4 linked regions of the Saccharomyces cerevisiae S288C genome follow. The gene in region 2 interacts genetically with the main gene of each other region. Each region holds a gene or a part of one and is shown on either strand. Other genes may lie near its edges.

The links.
Region 1: mutations in RRP8 (region 2) and TMA23 together harm fitness more than expected from each alone (negative genetic interaction), as found in Saccharomyces cerevisiae (3 studies listed by BioGRID).
Region 3: mutations in RRP8 (region 2) and TEF4 together harm fitness more than expected from each alone (negative genetic interaction), as found in Saccharomyces cerevisiae (3 studies listed by BioGRID).
Region 4: mutations in RRP8 (region 2) and REI1 together harm fitness more than expected from each alone (negative genetic interaction), as found in Saccharomyces cerevisiae (2 studies listed by BioGRID).

What each region holds. Positions count from the first base shown.
Region 1 is NC_001145.3:802,466-805,663, reverse strand, and holds TMA23 (Tma23p), read right to left. Parts: upstream 1,209-3,198; coding exon 573-1,208; downstream 1-572. Other genes in the region: RRN9 (Rrn9p), read left to right, coding at 1-338; U6 snRNP complex subunit PRP24, read left to right, coding at 1,442-2,776; inorganic diphosphatase PPA2, read right to left, coding at 2,960-3,198. UniProt on the Saccharomyces cerevisiae protein: Trans-acting factors of the ribosome biogenesis process.
Region 2 is NC_001136.10:610,460-613,964, reverse strand, and holds RRP8 (25S rRNA (adenine645-N1)-methyltransferase), read right to left. Parts: upstream 1,893-3,505; coding exon 714-1,892; downstream 1-713. Other genes in the region: TVP23 (Tvp23p), read left to right, coding at 1-560; STN1 (Stn1p), read right to left, coding at 2,040-3,505. UniProt on the Saccharomyces cerevisiae protein: S-adenosyl-L-methionine-dependent methyltransferase that specifically methylates the N(1) position of adenine 645 in 25S rRNA. Required both for ribosomal 40S and 60S subunits biogenesis. Required for efficient pre-rRNA cleavage at site A2.
Region 3 is NC_001143.9:280,731-284,973, reverse strand, and holds TEF4 (translation elongation factor EF1B gamma), read right to left. Parts: upstream 2,084-4,243; coding exon 1,879-2,083; intron 1,790-1,878; exon of another isoform or gene 1,695-1,789; intron 1,553-1,694; coding exon 519-1,552; downstream 1-518. Other genes in the region: ribosome biosynthesis protein RRP14, read left to right, coding at 2,645-3,949; HOT13 (Hot13p), read right to left, coding at 4,115-4,243. UniProt on the Saccharomyces cerevisiae protein: Subunit of the eukaryotic elongation factor 1 complex (eEF1). Probably plays a role in anchoring the complex to other cellular components.
Region 4 is NC_001134.8:738,139-741,735, reverse strand, and holds REI1 (Rei1p), read right to left. Parts: upstream 1,896-3,597; coding exon 714-1,895; downstream 1-713. Other genes in the region: mitochondrial 54S ribosomal protein mL54 MRPL37, read right to left, coding at 120-437; SLM6 (Slm6p), read left to right, coding at 1,348-1,800; TSC10 (3-dehydrosphinganine reductase), read right to left, coding at 2,192-3,154; Rab family GTPase YPT10, read left to right, coding at 3,367-3,597. UniProt on the Saccharomyces cerevisiae protein: Pre-60S-associated factor involved in the cytoplasmic maturation of the 60S subunit. Involved in the dissociation and recycling of other late pre-60S factors like ARX1, TIF6 and ALB1 before newly synthesized large ribosomal subunits enter translation.

The sequences.
Region 1 (3,198 bases), on a different chromosome or scaffold from region 2:
TATATAACGATATCCCAGAAAAGTATAAAAAGAGAAAATTCAGACTGCCCAAACAAATTCTAAAAAAGTATCACCAGCCAAAAAAGACCAGTTCATACTTAAAGGAGCTATTAAGTAAAACAAGAGAAGATTTCATACCTGTGGAAAAGTTATTGAAGGATAAACGGTTGACATCAAAGGACAAATCCAAGCTACAACGCTTAAATCGTGAAGAGACGGAAGATGCTCTAAACAAAAGAACATTTTTTCAGGTAAAGGGCTACTTAGAGGATGAGAATGAGATCTCTGATTACGAGTTGGACGACTGCCTCATAGAACTGCCTAATGGGAACATATGAATGAGAAAATCTTTTTTTTACCTTTTTCCATTAAGAAATATTCATCTCCTTTTAAGATCAACATATGTAACAATAAATATACTCTTTTAAAGATGTTCTTTTAATTTACTTACTGAAATTTAATATTAATAAAAGTTCGAAAACAAAGACTAAATACAAAAATAAAAAGATCATAAATTCAAACTTTTAAGAATGTCTTTTACGGATACATATTTACATATTAGACTATGATAATCATATATGCTCCTTTCTATCTCTTCTTGCTGAACTTTCTTCCTTTTTATGTTTTTTTGACTTTTTGGATTTTTTATGCTTCGATTTATCACCTTCATCGCTGCTATGCTTACTTTTCTTTCCTTTTTTACTCTCCTTCTTGCTTTTCTTCTTCTTCTTCTTCTTACTCTCACTGTCGTTACTAGTCTTTTTATCTTTTTTCAATTTTTTTCTCTTGACCTTGTTATCATCTTCATCACGCCTTCTTCTCTTCTTCCCTTTACTCGAACTTGCACTAGATACAACAAAGCTGGCTTCCTCCTTTTTACCAAGATTAGTAATGGTTCCTTTCAGCCCTTCTCCCTTTACAAACCACCTGTATAGAGGTGAGCTACTTTTCGATACAGCAGTAGCAACTGCCTCATTTTGAGTAAATTTAATACTGCCATTATTCGAATCAGTGCTTACATCCAGGTTCTTCAGATGTCCATCAAATAGCCTTTCCCACCATGCTTCGCCATCATTCCCGCCAGGAGCATTACCCAATCCCTTCTTATCTCTCTTGTGCTTTACCAGTATGGGTCTTTTCAAACCACCTTCTCTAAACGCTTCTCCTTCTTTCCAACCATATGATATCAGATATTCTTTGCTATCCATGTCCGATTTATTCTGATAATATTTCCGCTTGTATCATTCAATTTTCTATGTACATCATGACAATGAATTGTAGAGTGCATCAATGTCTTTTTTAAAGTCATCGCTAAAAAATTTTCAGGCGGGAACTTATTCAAAATGGCAGATTTACTACAACATTGAAAACCCTTTATATTTATTATATGAGAATCATTAGCGATAAACAAGCCCACATATTCACTTCATAATCTGTGATAATGGAGTATGGACATCACGCTAGACCAGATTCAAAACGACCATTGGATGAAGGATCACCAGCAGCCGCAGGATTAACTTCTAAGAAGGCGAACGAAGCTTTAACAAGAAATAGAGAATTAACAACTGTATTAGTCAAAAATTTGCCTAAGAGCTATAATCAAAACAAAGTCTATAAGTACTTCAAACATTGTGGGCCCATTATACACGTTGATGTTGCGGATTCGCTGAAGAAGAACTTTCGTTTTGCACGTATTGAATTTGCCAGGTATGATGGAGCCCTCGCTGCAATAACCAAAACACACAAAGTTGTAGGTCAGAATGAAATTATAGTATCTCATTTAACAGAATGCACATTATGGATGACGAATTTCCCCCCAAGTTATACTCAAAGAAATATTAGAGATCTATTGCAAGATATTAACGTTGTTGCACTCAGTATACGGCTTCCCAGTTTACGATTCAATACAAGCAGAAGGTTCGCTTACATCGATGTTACTTCTAAAGAGGATGCAAGATATTGTGTAGAAAAATTGAATGGACTCAAAATAGAAGGTTATACTTTAGTTACTAAAGTTTCCAATCCGCTGGAAAAGTCGAAACGGACCGATTCTGCCACACTAGAGGGGCGAGAGATTATGATACGAAACCTAAGTACAGAATTGCTCGACGAAAACCTTCTGAGGGAATCTTTTGAGGGATTTGGTTCCATTGAAAAAATCAACATACCTGCTGGACAGAAAGAGCACAGTTTCAATAACTGTTGTGCATTTATGGTTTTTGAAAATAAAGATTCTGCTGAAAGGGCACTTCAAATGAATAGAAGTTTGTTAGGTAATAGGGAAATTTCCGTTTCCTTGGCTGATAAAAAACCATTCTTAGAAAGAAACGAAGTCAAAAGACTTCTCGCATCGCGTAACAGCAAAGAACTAGAAACACTAATATGCTTATTTCCACTTTCAGATAAGGTGTCACCAAGCTTAATCTGCCAATTTCTTCAGGAAGAAATACACATCAATGAAAAAGATATTAGGAAAATACTTCTCGTTAGCGACTTCAATGGCGCCATTATTATATTTAGAGATAGTAAGTTTGCAGCAAAAATGCTAATGATACTAAATGGATCTCAATTTCAGGGAAAGGTGATACGTTCAGGTACTATTAATGACATGAAAAGATATTATAACAATCAACAGAATCACAGCATGAAACACGTCAAACCTAGTTGTATAAACATGATGGAAAAAGGACCAAATCTTCAAGTAAAGAAAAAAATTCCTGACAAACAAGAGCAGATGTCCAACGACGATTTTCGCAAGATGTTTCTAGGTGAGTAGACTAACCGAACCGGAGAAAGACGAACTTCTAATAGGATGTCATTTTAGCAGTGAATATAAACCCAAGTTTCTTTCCAAACGTTCACATACATCAAGCAGCCAACATTCGAGAGAGCAGAGATTACGTAATTATATACAAGGAACCTTTATCTAAACATTTTCTTCGAAGGTATTATTTTCATATTAAACGTAATACCATTTTTGCACCTCAGGCGGTATTTGAGAAGGGGGTTTAACACTATCTTCAAGTGTGACACCATTACCAGCCCTTTCTGTATTAGGCAGGTTGTCATACTTCTCCTGGAGTGATCCTGAAATGAGGTTTTTCCACGAATTGTGACATTTCTTTATAGTTTGGATGGTTTTATTGGAATTTTGATACTGTTCATGAAAGGCGAAACTATTTAATGGCTTCCCTGCTG
Region 2 (3,505 bases):
CGTCGCACCCGTTGCTACTATCATTTCATCTGGCAGGTAAGGCAGTTCCCATTGTATTTTATATCATAGGATCAATGTTTTTGAATTTCACACCTCAATTCATCACTGTCGTTCTTTTACTTTCTTTTGACTTTTACTTAACAAAAAACATTACAGGTCGGAAACTGGTCCAATTACGCTGGTGGTATGATTCTACAGATGTGAACAAAGATTCTAATTTTACTTTCGAATCATATAAGCAATATGCGCCGGGCCCACCAATAAATGCCATCGATTCTAAGTTATTCTGGTGGTCGATGTATGTGACACCCGTAATCTGGGGTGTCTTCGCTGTGTTGTGTCTTTTAAGACTGAAAATATTCTACCTGATTTTGGTCATTGTTGCAATGTGTCTGACCGCCTGGAACACGTATGGATTTCGTTGTTGCGATAGATGGGAGCCCAATAGTGGACAATCTGACGGTCAAGATACTAATAATTGGTTCGCTCTTCCTTCTGTTCCGGGCTTTGAAAATCTTTCAAGGCTGGCTAATATCCAATCGTTTTTCCAGAGACAATAAAACCTTGTCCCTCATGTGAACATTGTGGAGTACTTCTTCTAGATGATTTTTACTTTACGCAATGTACTACAGGAAAAGAATACAATTATATGTATAAATATAGTATACAAAAGAAAAAACAATATTAAAATATGAAAATGACGGATGAAGTCGTTATCTTCTTTTATAAATACAGGGCTTCAAGAGCCATTTTCCTTCGGCAATTTTCCGTCTTTTCTTTTCTAATTCTTCCTTCTCAGTTTCAACTTCAATAAACTTTTGTCTTCTTTCCAATTTCTGCCTTCTCTCTTCAATAATCTCCGCAGGTGGCTTGAAAAATTCGAATCTTGTAAACATCTTATTCTCGTCGAAGGTCTTTTTGTGAAAAAATCCCATCAGCTTCAAAGCGTCTACAAATTCATTACCTTTGCCGTCACTAAACCTTGATTTAATTTCTGCGATCCATAATTCACCCCTTGGCGCTAAAATCCTATAAGCTTCTTTTATGAAATCGAGGAAATTTGTACCCATTAGAGCCAGGCAGAAGACCACTATAGTACAGGACTCATCTGGTAGCGGCACATTTCTAATATCTGCCACAGTTATTCTTTCGTTAGCTTTCTTCAAATCAAAACTGTGGACTTTATGGCGTCTTTTCAAATATTTCTTCGCTTTCTTATTGTAATTTTTGAAAAAATTGTTGATTTCTAATGCTAATTGAGCTTCACCACACCCCATATCAGCAATAACTATTTCTTTACTATCCTTAAGACCTGGTAACCCACCTGGAGCATTCACAGGTTTCATGCATCTATAACGAATTTGGTCAACAAAAACATCAACTGGATTTTCCGGCCATGCTTGCACTTGTGATCTAAAACCATCATGATATTCGTCAAATAATTGTGGTTGTTCTTTTATTAATTTCAAAGCTTCATCAGAGCTAATTGTATACAGTTGTTCATTGATCCATCTAAATCTAGAACCAGTCAGTTTAGCCATCATCTTTTGTTGTAAAGGGGTTAGTTGCTTCTTTGTAGGTTTTTCAATATTTTCTTTTACTTGCATCAGAGGGGCTTCTTCATCGTGCTTGCGTTTCTTGCTCGTTTCATTTTGATCACTTTTCTCTTGGTTTTTTTTTGGGATGTCTTTGGCTACTGATCCTTCGGAAGGAATGTCTTCCACTTGTTCCTTCAACTCAGCCTCTGTCTCTTCTTTCAACTTCTGTTCTCTTGTAAGTTTGCCATTTTTTCTATTATTTTTTTTTTTATCTTTTGAAGACTTATTAGTCTTGTTATCAAAAGCGACGGTTTTTGTCTTAATAGACCAACCTTCTACGTTAAATAAGGCCATATAAAATTTCGTTAACGTCCTTATTTGTTTGATATAATATATATACAATATATGCATAAAGTTATAGTATCTTATTTTGAGCTCATCGCAAAATTTTTCAGGCCTAGAGAGATGCGCCGTTATTGACGATGCGAGTTTTCTAACAAATTATGAATATGCTGCTGCGTATTCCAAATGTAATAATATTCCACTGTTTTGGTCCTCCATACCATTCTTCGGATCAAGATCAATCCACCAATTTTTTAGTACCTCAGGATACTGTTTCTTTGTCCTTTTAAGACATTCTTTGAAAACATCAACGATGCCGTTCGTTGTTATGTACGGCAAATGTAGCTTTTCCTGAACATGACTTAATTGCACAGTGCCTGTATAACATTGTAGCTTCATTAGAACTGATATACGTTTTTCAGCATATTCAAAAAGATTTTTTAGAGGAAGCAAATCAAATGTCTCACTTGTTTTATCTTTTAATCCGATCAAACCCTGGCTGACTAGACGATTAACCAGGTCTCGAAACGCTTCCTTTTCCAAAGAGTCAAAAGATTTCATGACGCCAACATTTTGTTGTTGAAACAAAAACGATGCTAAGCTAGTTACTACGCTGCGTACTTCCTTTAGTTTGTAAAGGTCAGAATTAGAAATCTCTTTCATTTGTAGTCCTAATAGGATCAACATCAAGTTTGACTTTGCTGATGTCCTATTGGGAATCATCACAGGTAGATTAGCGCTTTGATATTCTAGTTTTTTTAACTGTTCGTCATTGCCGTTGTCAATTTGATCACCTGAATTCAAAAAGTGAGTTTCAGGAAAATCCTTTAGCGACGATACAAACCGAAATGACAAGGAATGCACACTATTCGAAGTATCTGTGCTATTGTATGGACTAATAATTTCTAATTCATCCTTCAAGCGTTCTTCTTGCAGTTGCTCGATGAAAGTAGTTTCATTTCTTTTACTTTCTGGGGTTTTGTACCCTATACCTACAAAATCCGGGTTTACTACCTCAATCTGTGATGTCTCAGGTGTCCACTCTTGCTCTTGCGTGAACAATTCTCCAATTACAAAATCGCTTAAGGACCAAGGCGTGTCAAGTTGCTCACGCATGTTCATTGTGATTTTCCAATGATCTATTTCTTCCGTTAAACTGTAGCATAATCTTAAATATTCAACTTGAAGCTCTTGATAGTTCAAACTTGCTTGCCCGTAGACATGAAGAGTTAAGCCTATCAAATCGGTTATGTTCAACCCCCATGATAGGATGCTATCCTTCTTAACTTTACATGTTAAGAATCTCATGTCACTAGTATAACCCACCAATGAAGAGTCTGAAGTACAATCGTCCAACTGAAAAAAAATGTATTCTTGTTTCCCAATCCATTTGAACTGGAGTCCAATGATGCAGCCAATAAGGTGTATTTGCTGTAAAGGATGATTTTTCCAGAACAACATCGACAACCGCCTATCATAATACTTTTCGCAAATTTGCAAAGAAACTCTCATCCGGTACTTTAAATCTCCAACAAATATTCGAACGTCCTCTGTCCCACTATAATAACTGTTGTATTTGAACAGCCTTGGAATATAATAACAAACATCGCCTTCTTGATGAGCTA
Region 3 (4,243 bases), on a different chromosome or scaffold from region 2:
CAACTGCAACTTCTATATACCTCCTTTGTTTGTGTTTCTAAAGCACTGTGACAAATCCTGCTTGAAAGCACATGATATCACCAGACGTGTTGCACTATCTTCAGTTCTATCCTAAATTGTTTTCCAGTCTTAAGATAAAATTCATTCCAGTTCGGGTAACATACACCGTTTATGACTGACGCTTCTCTTTACGGAAAATTGTTTTTTTCGCTATTGTTGCAAAAGTACAATGGAAAATGCCCCACTGAAACATGAAATAAGAAGAGAAGAATCAAGTTTATGCAAAATATTGTTAGAGTAACCGCAGCAGATTGTGATACTCAATTAGAGAGATTATTACAATATATATATATATAATGATTACATGGACGTTAATCGTTACATAGAATTAAACCACGCGTAAGTATGGGGTAATCATGAAGTAGACTTCAGGGTTTTTTTCTTTTTTCTTTTGAAAATTCGTTTTGTTTGACTCTTATGTATATTGGGAAGAAAATATGGAAGAAGAGTTATTGAGATTATTTCAAAACCTTACCGTCAACAATTTCCTTATCTTCGCCATTGACAACAACAGGCTTATCCCAAGCCCACATGTTGTTGACAAATTCTTTGTCTTCTTCCTTGGTTGGGTCCAACTTGGTGTATTCGTAAGATTCCCAGTCTGGAGCGACATCAAAGGCTGGAGCGAAATCTTGGCCTCTGACCATAACGGCACCAACAATACCATTATTGTTGTTTTCACCATAGACAACTAAACAACCGAACATGTACTTAGTAGAAGCGGACAATCTGTTGAAAAAACCACCGACCAAGTTGTTGGACATGAAAGTCAAGGTAAGTTCGTCGTTGTATTTGTAACCAACCTTCCAGATGGAGTATTCTTCAGGGTTGTAGTGTTCCCAGAACCATGGCAAAGCAACTGGTCTGGTGTCGTCGTTGGAGTACTTTCTCTTCCAGTCATCCAAGACAAATGTGGACTTTCCTAAAGCTTCCAATGGGTGCTTTGGCTTTTTAGCTGGAGCAGCATCATCTGCTGGCTTAGCTTCGTCCTTCTTCTTTTCAGCCTTTGACTTTTCGGCCTTTGGCTTTTCAGCCTTTTGCTTCTTTGGTGGAGTGTAGGTTAGAGCCTTTTCAGCCAATTTGACTTCAGCAAATGGAGTCTTCACGATTGGAGAAGCAGCAACAGTGTTGAACCATCTCATCAAATGAGGATGCTTAGCTCTCCATTCAGGGCCCAAAATAGTGGCCAAACCAAAAGCCCAAGAACCAGCGGCATGAAGGTCACCTAGAGAAATGTTTTCGGTAGCAACAAAGGTGTAGTCTCTCAATCTAGCATCGAAGACAGCAGCTAGGTTGTCGATTTTAACAAAACAAGCATCAACGTCTTTCTTGTTGTATGGAATCAAACCTTTGAAAGAAAGGAATGGACGAGCAATGTTGCTCATGACATCGGAATTAGCTAGAGATGCCCATCTAAGGATTTGAGACTTTTCGATAACGTCGGAACCTAATAAGCGAGCTCTTTCTTTTTCATCGGCAACTTGATTAGCCACTAAATATACATCATCTCGATGGTTATACAACCATTAATTGAAGAAATGTTAGTAAAACAATCCTTTATATTTTTTCCTGGATTAGGACACGCTTTGTACTTCCTTTTTGTTATTTTGACTTTCATTTTTCTTTAAGAAACATATCAGAAATACAAATATCAACATATGAGAGGTTACCTATTATTACCCATTCAGACAGGGATAACTGTTTGATAAAATTTTTTTTCATCATTATGTTTCGAAGAAAAATGACGTGCCAAATAAACGAACGGGAAACGCGCAAAACAATGTATGTGGAAGTGTTAAAATAAAATATGGAACATACAATAAAATTGGATAGCCAAAGCTTCAGTTAGCTTTAAGCCCTTTGGACCCAAAAATGCAGGGGCTTGCTTCAATGGGAACAAAGAAGCAAACTCGCTAGATTGTTCTAGATCAACGATCTTGACATCTAGTTTAAAGTAAGAAATCAAAGCTTCAGAAGCGTAGTTTCTTGGAGATCTATTAATGTATAAAGTACCTTGGGACATCTTGAATCTATCGAGGGCCAAAATCAAAGAATTGAGTTGGTATTAAGGATGGACACCAGTTTTGAACAAAATTAACGACGGAATGGATGAATTAAATATGAAAAAGAAAGTATTGCAAACTGTTGATGAAAAAAATTTTTCTTTCAATTTTGTCAGCAGCAGAGCGCATTACCCTGCCGGCCACATGCCGAATTAAATTAAATGAGGGCTGCTATTGCCAAATGTGATGGCTTGCCTACAGAGGTTAATTTCCCTTGTTTTGGGCTTCCTCTCTCAACACGATTGACACAAGCAATAGAGGCAAAGGTGTGTAATGAGTTCGTGTACCAATTAAAGTAAAGTAGAGTGGTTTAATTGGGATTACACGATTAAAAAGTTTCACCCAGACACCAAATTGAAAATTTTTTAAAATGAATTCTTTTTATTCTCATCTCCGGTAAAGAAAAGAGGAAAGTACAATAAAAGAGATGAGATGACCAAGAGATGAATAACAAGTGAGGACTGAGACGTTGTTGCAAGTGATAAAGAAAGTCCGGGAATTGAAAGATATAGGAGACTGAGATGAGTAATTCACTTGAGGAGCGCCTTCGTGCTAATTCAAGCGCCTTCGATGGTTTATTGGCTTTAATTCCTGCAAAATACTATTATGATGAAAAAAGTCAAGAGCAATGGAAGGCCAAGAAGAAAACCAAAGAACAGAGTAAAAATGATAAACTGAAAAAATTAGACCCGGAGCAACGTGATGATGAAACATCTAGTACATTAGAAGTAATGAAGAAGAAGGAGAAAGACGCAAAGCCGGTGGTCCTACCTGGTGAAAAATTCAAGCACATGAAAATGCAAAAGCAAAAGGAAGCAACATCAAAAGTGGAAGGAGACTCCGACCTGAACGTAGAAGTAAACGATCCTATGATAATAGCACCAGACGAAGATGAAGAAGAGGAAGAGGATATTAAGGTGATCTTTGATGATGAGGGAAATGAAATACCATTAGAATCTAAAAAAGATACTACAGAGCCCGATAGATCTGTCGAAAAGAAGTCTATTACAGAGGAAGAGAAACTACAAAGAAAGAAAAACTTGGAAGCACTACGTTCCAAGTTACAAGCGAAAATTTCAGATATGAAGAGTAAAAGGAAAGCACCCGGTTCTAGAGAGGCTATTCTTGCTCAAAGGAAACGCAAGGAAGAGTTGAAAAAAAGAAAGCGTCTAGAAAGTGAACAGGAACAGGATCAGGATGAAATTGCGTCTGATTCCGATATGGAAGACATCGATAGTGATTTAGAAAACAATTCGAAAAAAAGATTCAAAAAAGGCAAGAAGGACTCAGAAATTAACGCAGATGGTGTAATGTTTCAAAATATCATATTCGATGATGGTGCAAGGGCCACTTCAGATTTACAAAGGTTAAGAAAAGCTGGTAGAACGAAGGGTCCGGCTAAGAATGATGTAAAATCACACTTAAAGTTATTAGAAGCCAAGAAGAATAAGATGGAGGCGAAAGACGAACTAGAACAAATCAAGCAGAAGGAAAAGGAAAAATGGCAAAAGGCTATGTTACAAGCAGAAGGAATTAAGATTAGGGATGACGAAAAACTACTTCGCAAAGCTATAAAGAGAAAGGAAGCACAAAAGAGAAAGTCTGCGATTGAATGGAGCGAACGTAAGAGGGTTGTGGAAGACACGATATCTGAAAGACAAAAGAGAAGAGAAGAGAATCTGAGGATTAGGAAAGACAACAAGGGTAAAAAGAGAAATAAGCAAGAAAAGATGAAAAGAAAGTATGTCGGTAGTGCCGTACCAAAGAAAAGAGCCGGATTTGAGGGTAGATTAAAAACAGGTAAAAAGAAGGGAGGACCTAAATAATAATCACGATAATAATAACAACAATAATAGATATATATATATGTATGAACATATATATACAGATACATATATATATATATATATCTATATATATACCATCGCATTTTTTCCTTAACGAGAAGAGCACAGCAGAGCTTAAGATGGCATGCATTTATAGAACAACACTCAACACATAGCGGGGGGAGGGTTCTGGAAATACAAATGGTAGTGCAATTTACAGCCTGGATTAAAGGGGGATCTGCAATTGGGACAAATAAGGTTTGAATTGTAGTCGTAATACTCTGCAAACGTCAT
Region 4 (3,597 bases), on a different chromosome or scaffold from region 2:
TGGGAACTATCATGTTTTTGTTGGTACAAAATAAGGCATTATGCTAAAAACATACTATTTAACCACGTACACACATATTTATTTACAAGGATACCAAACTTGATCTTATTAACGGAGGCTTAAAGTTGGCTCAAGAAATTGTTTTGCTTGATTCGCTGCCTGTTCGCCTTCCTTATGTTCTTTCTTCTCTTTAAGAGAGCCTGTCCCTCTGGGTCCTCAGCCGCATGTTCGACAACGTGATCACTATCCAATACGCTCCATAACCAATTTGGATACTCCTTGTCCTCGAGTGCCACTGCGTCTTTACCGCTCTTCCATATGTTTAAGTTAAGCGATGTTCCCGCAGGACACGACGACACCACTGACTTAACCGTGGGTTTATTATATAAGATACGACTGGTCGATATCAACCTGTAACCCAAACTGCGCGCCAACATCTTCAGTCTTCAGCAGCTATTTCCTTTGCTGTAGATATAACTGCTTTAAGAAGCCTATTAGTTTTTTCACTTTCGAGATTTTTGCGCCAAACAAGGGCGCACAAATACCCGGCATCACGCATTTATTATATGAAGAGAATATTAGAACAGGCATTTCAAAGCATGATTCAATGACTATAACATTGCTATAGAGGGGGTAGTGAAGAATTATCTAATGTACAAATGGTGAAGCAGTATATATGCGACAAAATACTAAAAAAAGTAGTGCAAAAAGAATTACTGCAGAAGTTGGTCTCTGTAGTGTGGTTGGTTATTGACGAACTTGGCACTTCTCTTATCGAGCCTTTTCTTGTCGAACCTCTCAGTTTGCCAAACACGCTGTTGAGTCTGCACGCCCTTTTTGTCGAAGGCAGGTAAGAACGATCTCGTCTCTGCAGCGACCAGGGTACCTTGGCCTTCGGTCAGTATCACCTCGGGCTTTAAGTCTTGCTTGTAGTATCTTTGCAAGGACCTGTGGCCAACTTTGATGCCTGTCGGTAGATGCAGCTCTATACCATCGTTATATAAGTACTCTTGTGGCAGATCTTCGTCGTCGCTTCCGGCTTCGTCGCTGCCCACGTCTTCCCAGTCATCTTCGTTGTCTGGTGTTGTGTTGCTATTAAAGTTTGCGTATGAGCTTGTAAAATCGTAGAATTCAGATATCTCCAACCTTTCATCCTCGCTTTCGTAGGGAATTTTACAGTGTCTCTTTGCCAACATGTGCTGTCTTACAGCGGTCAACGTTCTCCCCTGGTAATTACAAACAATACAAATGTTCCCAAGACCAATCTTCTCCGACATGTATTTTACCAAGCCGATCTTGTCGACTAGATATTTCTGTTCTGGGATATAAAACCCGTGGGTCCTAAACATGTGTTCCAGGTTTTCTTCAACATCTTTGAAGTGCTTATTGTGCTCACAAAATAGACATTGTTCCAGTGGAATATCGACTCTGTTGCGTAGCTTTTCTTGCATTACTCTTTCCGCCATTTCTTCCTCGGTCAACTGTTCAGGCTCCTCCTTCTTAGGTTCTTCCTTTTCCTTGTTCTCCTCATTTTCTTGCAAAGAGAGCTTGCTTAGGTCGGGAGTATTTCCCTCTTGGCTCTTTTGCATGTTTTCAAGCATATTAGCCCTGGCAATTTCCAACAGTTTCTTTTTCTTTTCGAGCAATGCTTGCTTTTCCCTTCTTTTCAACTCCTTTTTGGTAACAGGTTTCTCCTTTTCAGCAGACTTACTAGTACTGGCAGCAGCTGCAGACACTTTGGAGTCAAATGTCTCAAATGATATTGGTGGCAATTGTGCAACACGTCTTTTCAAATTGTAGCGATGCCAATCGGACTTCATGTGGGCCCGCTGCTCGTCGCTTGAATCAAAGGTCAGGACACATGAATTACACGTATAAACACCACTGCTACTCATCGTATTGTTACTGATATGCTCTCTTCTTGACTTCTAATGAGAAGCATCTCATAACCTGTACTAAAAGTGGAAAGAGGAAAATTTTTTTCACCTCATCGCATCGGTACCCATAAGAAAAACTTTCAAAATATAGTAAGAAAAGAGAATAAAAATAGGAAAATATCGCCGTGGTAATAATGTTATAATTAATATTTCGTATATACTTATACATGTACAAATAGCTACACCACTAGGGTTTGTCTTGAAAGAAATAAAGAGAGTCACGGGGAATATCGGGAATGAGAGTGGATGTGCTCTCAGTTGGCCTTCTTGCCGTCATTTTCACGAAACCATTTCCTGATATACCAGGAACAGCCAACCATGTAGAATGGCACGACCAGAATGTTTGATAGGACACCAAAAATCCATTGCAACGGAACAAAGCGGCTTTTCTTTGCGGTGAGCCCAAGGTCCATCCCCATTATCATCCATCCGACAAAATCTGTAAAAACGTCATCATCACCTCTGGCCAGCGACTTGGCAATGATATCACATGCTTGTTTGCATGGGATAGCGTCTGAGGGGCCTTCGATCAACTTTGTAATTTCGGGTTTCGTTAGCTGCTCTACAGTGAAACCTTCGCTTTCAAAATTACCAGGATAAACACAACTGATACGGAAGTTCGTCAGTTCTTGTCTTAAGATTGCTACCAGTGATTTGATTGCAGCTTTTGCAGGCGCATACTGGGAATAGCCCACAAATGGGTAAAGCGCGGTGGCACTAGAAAAGATGATGAGGTGGTGTTCCTTGGTTTGCTCTGCAAGGGCAATCTGATGTGCCACGTTCAAAGTTGTTTTATAGTTGATGTCCATACCCAAGTTCAACTCATGTCCGCTTAGCCCACGAAATAACTTAGGAACAGCCCCCCCTGCACAGCATAACGTTTGTGTAGGGAGTAAATCCAAGTCTCTCAGGGCATTGAACAAACATTCCACGGATTCGTAGCAGGACAAGTCGCATGGGTAGTAAAATAACCGTTGCTCAAGGTCCAAGGGCGCAGCCAACTTATGTTGCACTTGGCCCTCGTCAGTGGTTTCCCTTCTCAGGTGAGCTTCAATCCTAATTTCGTTGCATGTGTCCAGCAGTCTAGCCTCTGACCTACTGACGATAATAATCTTTGTGTTTTCAGCCTCATTATAATATTTTTTGGCGAATTCCTTTCCAAGACCTTGTGAACCACCAGTGATCAACACAACTTGGTCTTCTAACGTAAACTTCATTACCTACAAAAGATTATACCGATAACTTCTTTTCTTGAGGCAATCTTATTTAATCGCTTCCAGTAAATGCAGAGAAACTCCTCTGCATTTTTCATTTTTTTGTTTTTTTTTTGTCGTTTATTGTTTTTTAGCCTTACGTTTCACGTTAAGGAACAATGATAGTAAAATTACTCCAGGAAATACAAGTAGCACAAAATACGGAGGAATACGATATGGAAGCAACCATCAAAGTGGTACTGCTAGGAGATTCATCAGTGGGGAAAACCAGTATAGTGACTAGGCTCAAATCAGGTAAGTTTCTAGCAAAACATGCGGCTACGATAGGTGCGGCGTTCATCACCAAGACAATCGAGGTTCCTTCTAACGACTCCTCTACGGAGAAACGTATCCATATGGAGATATGGGACACGGCGGGTCAGGAACGGTATAAATCACTGGTGCCA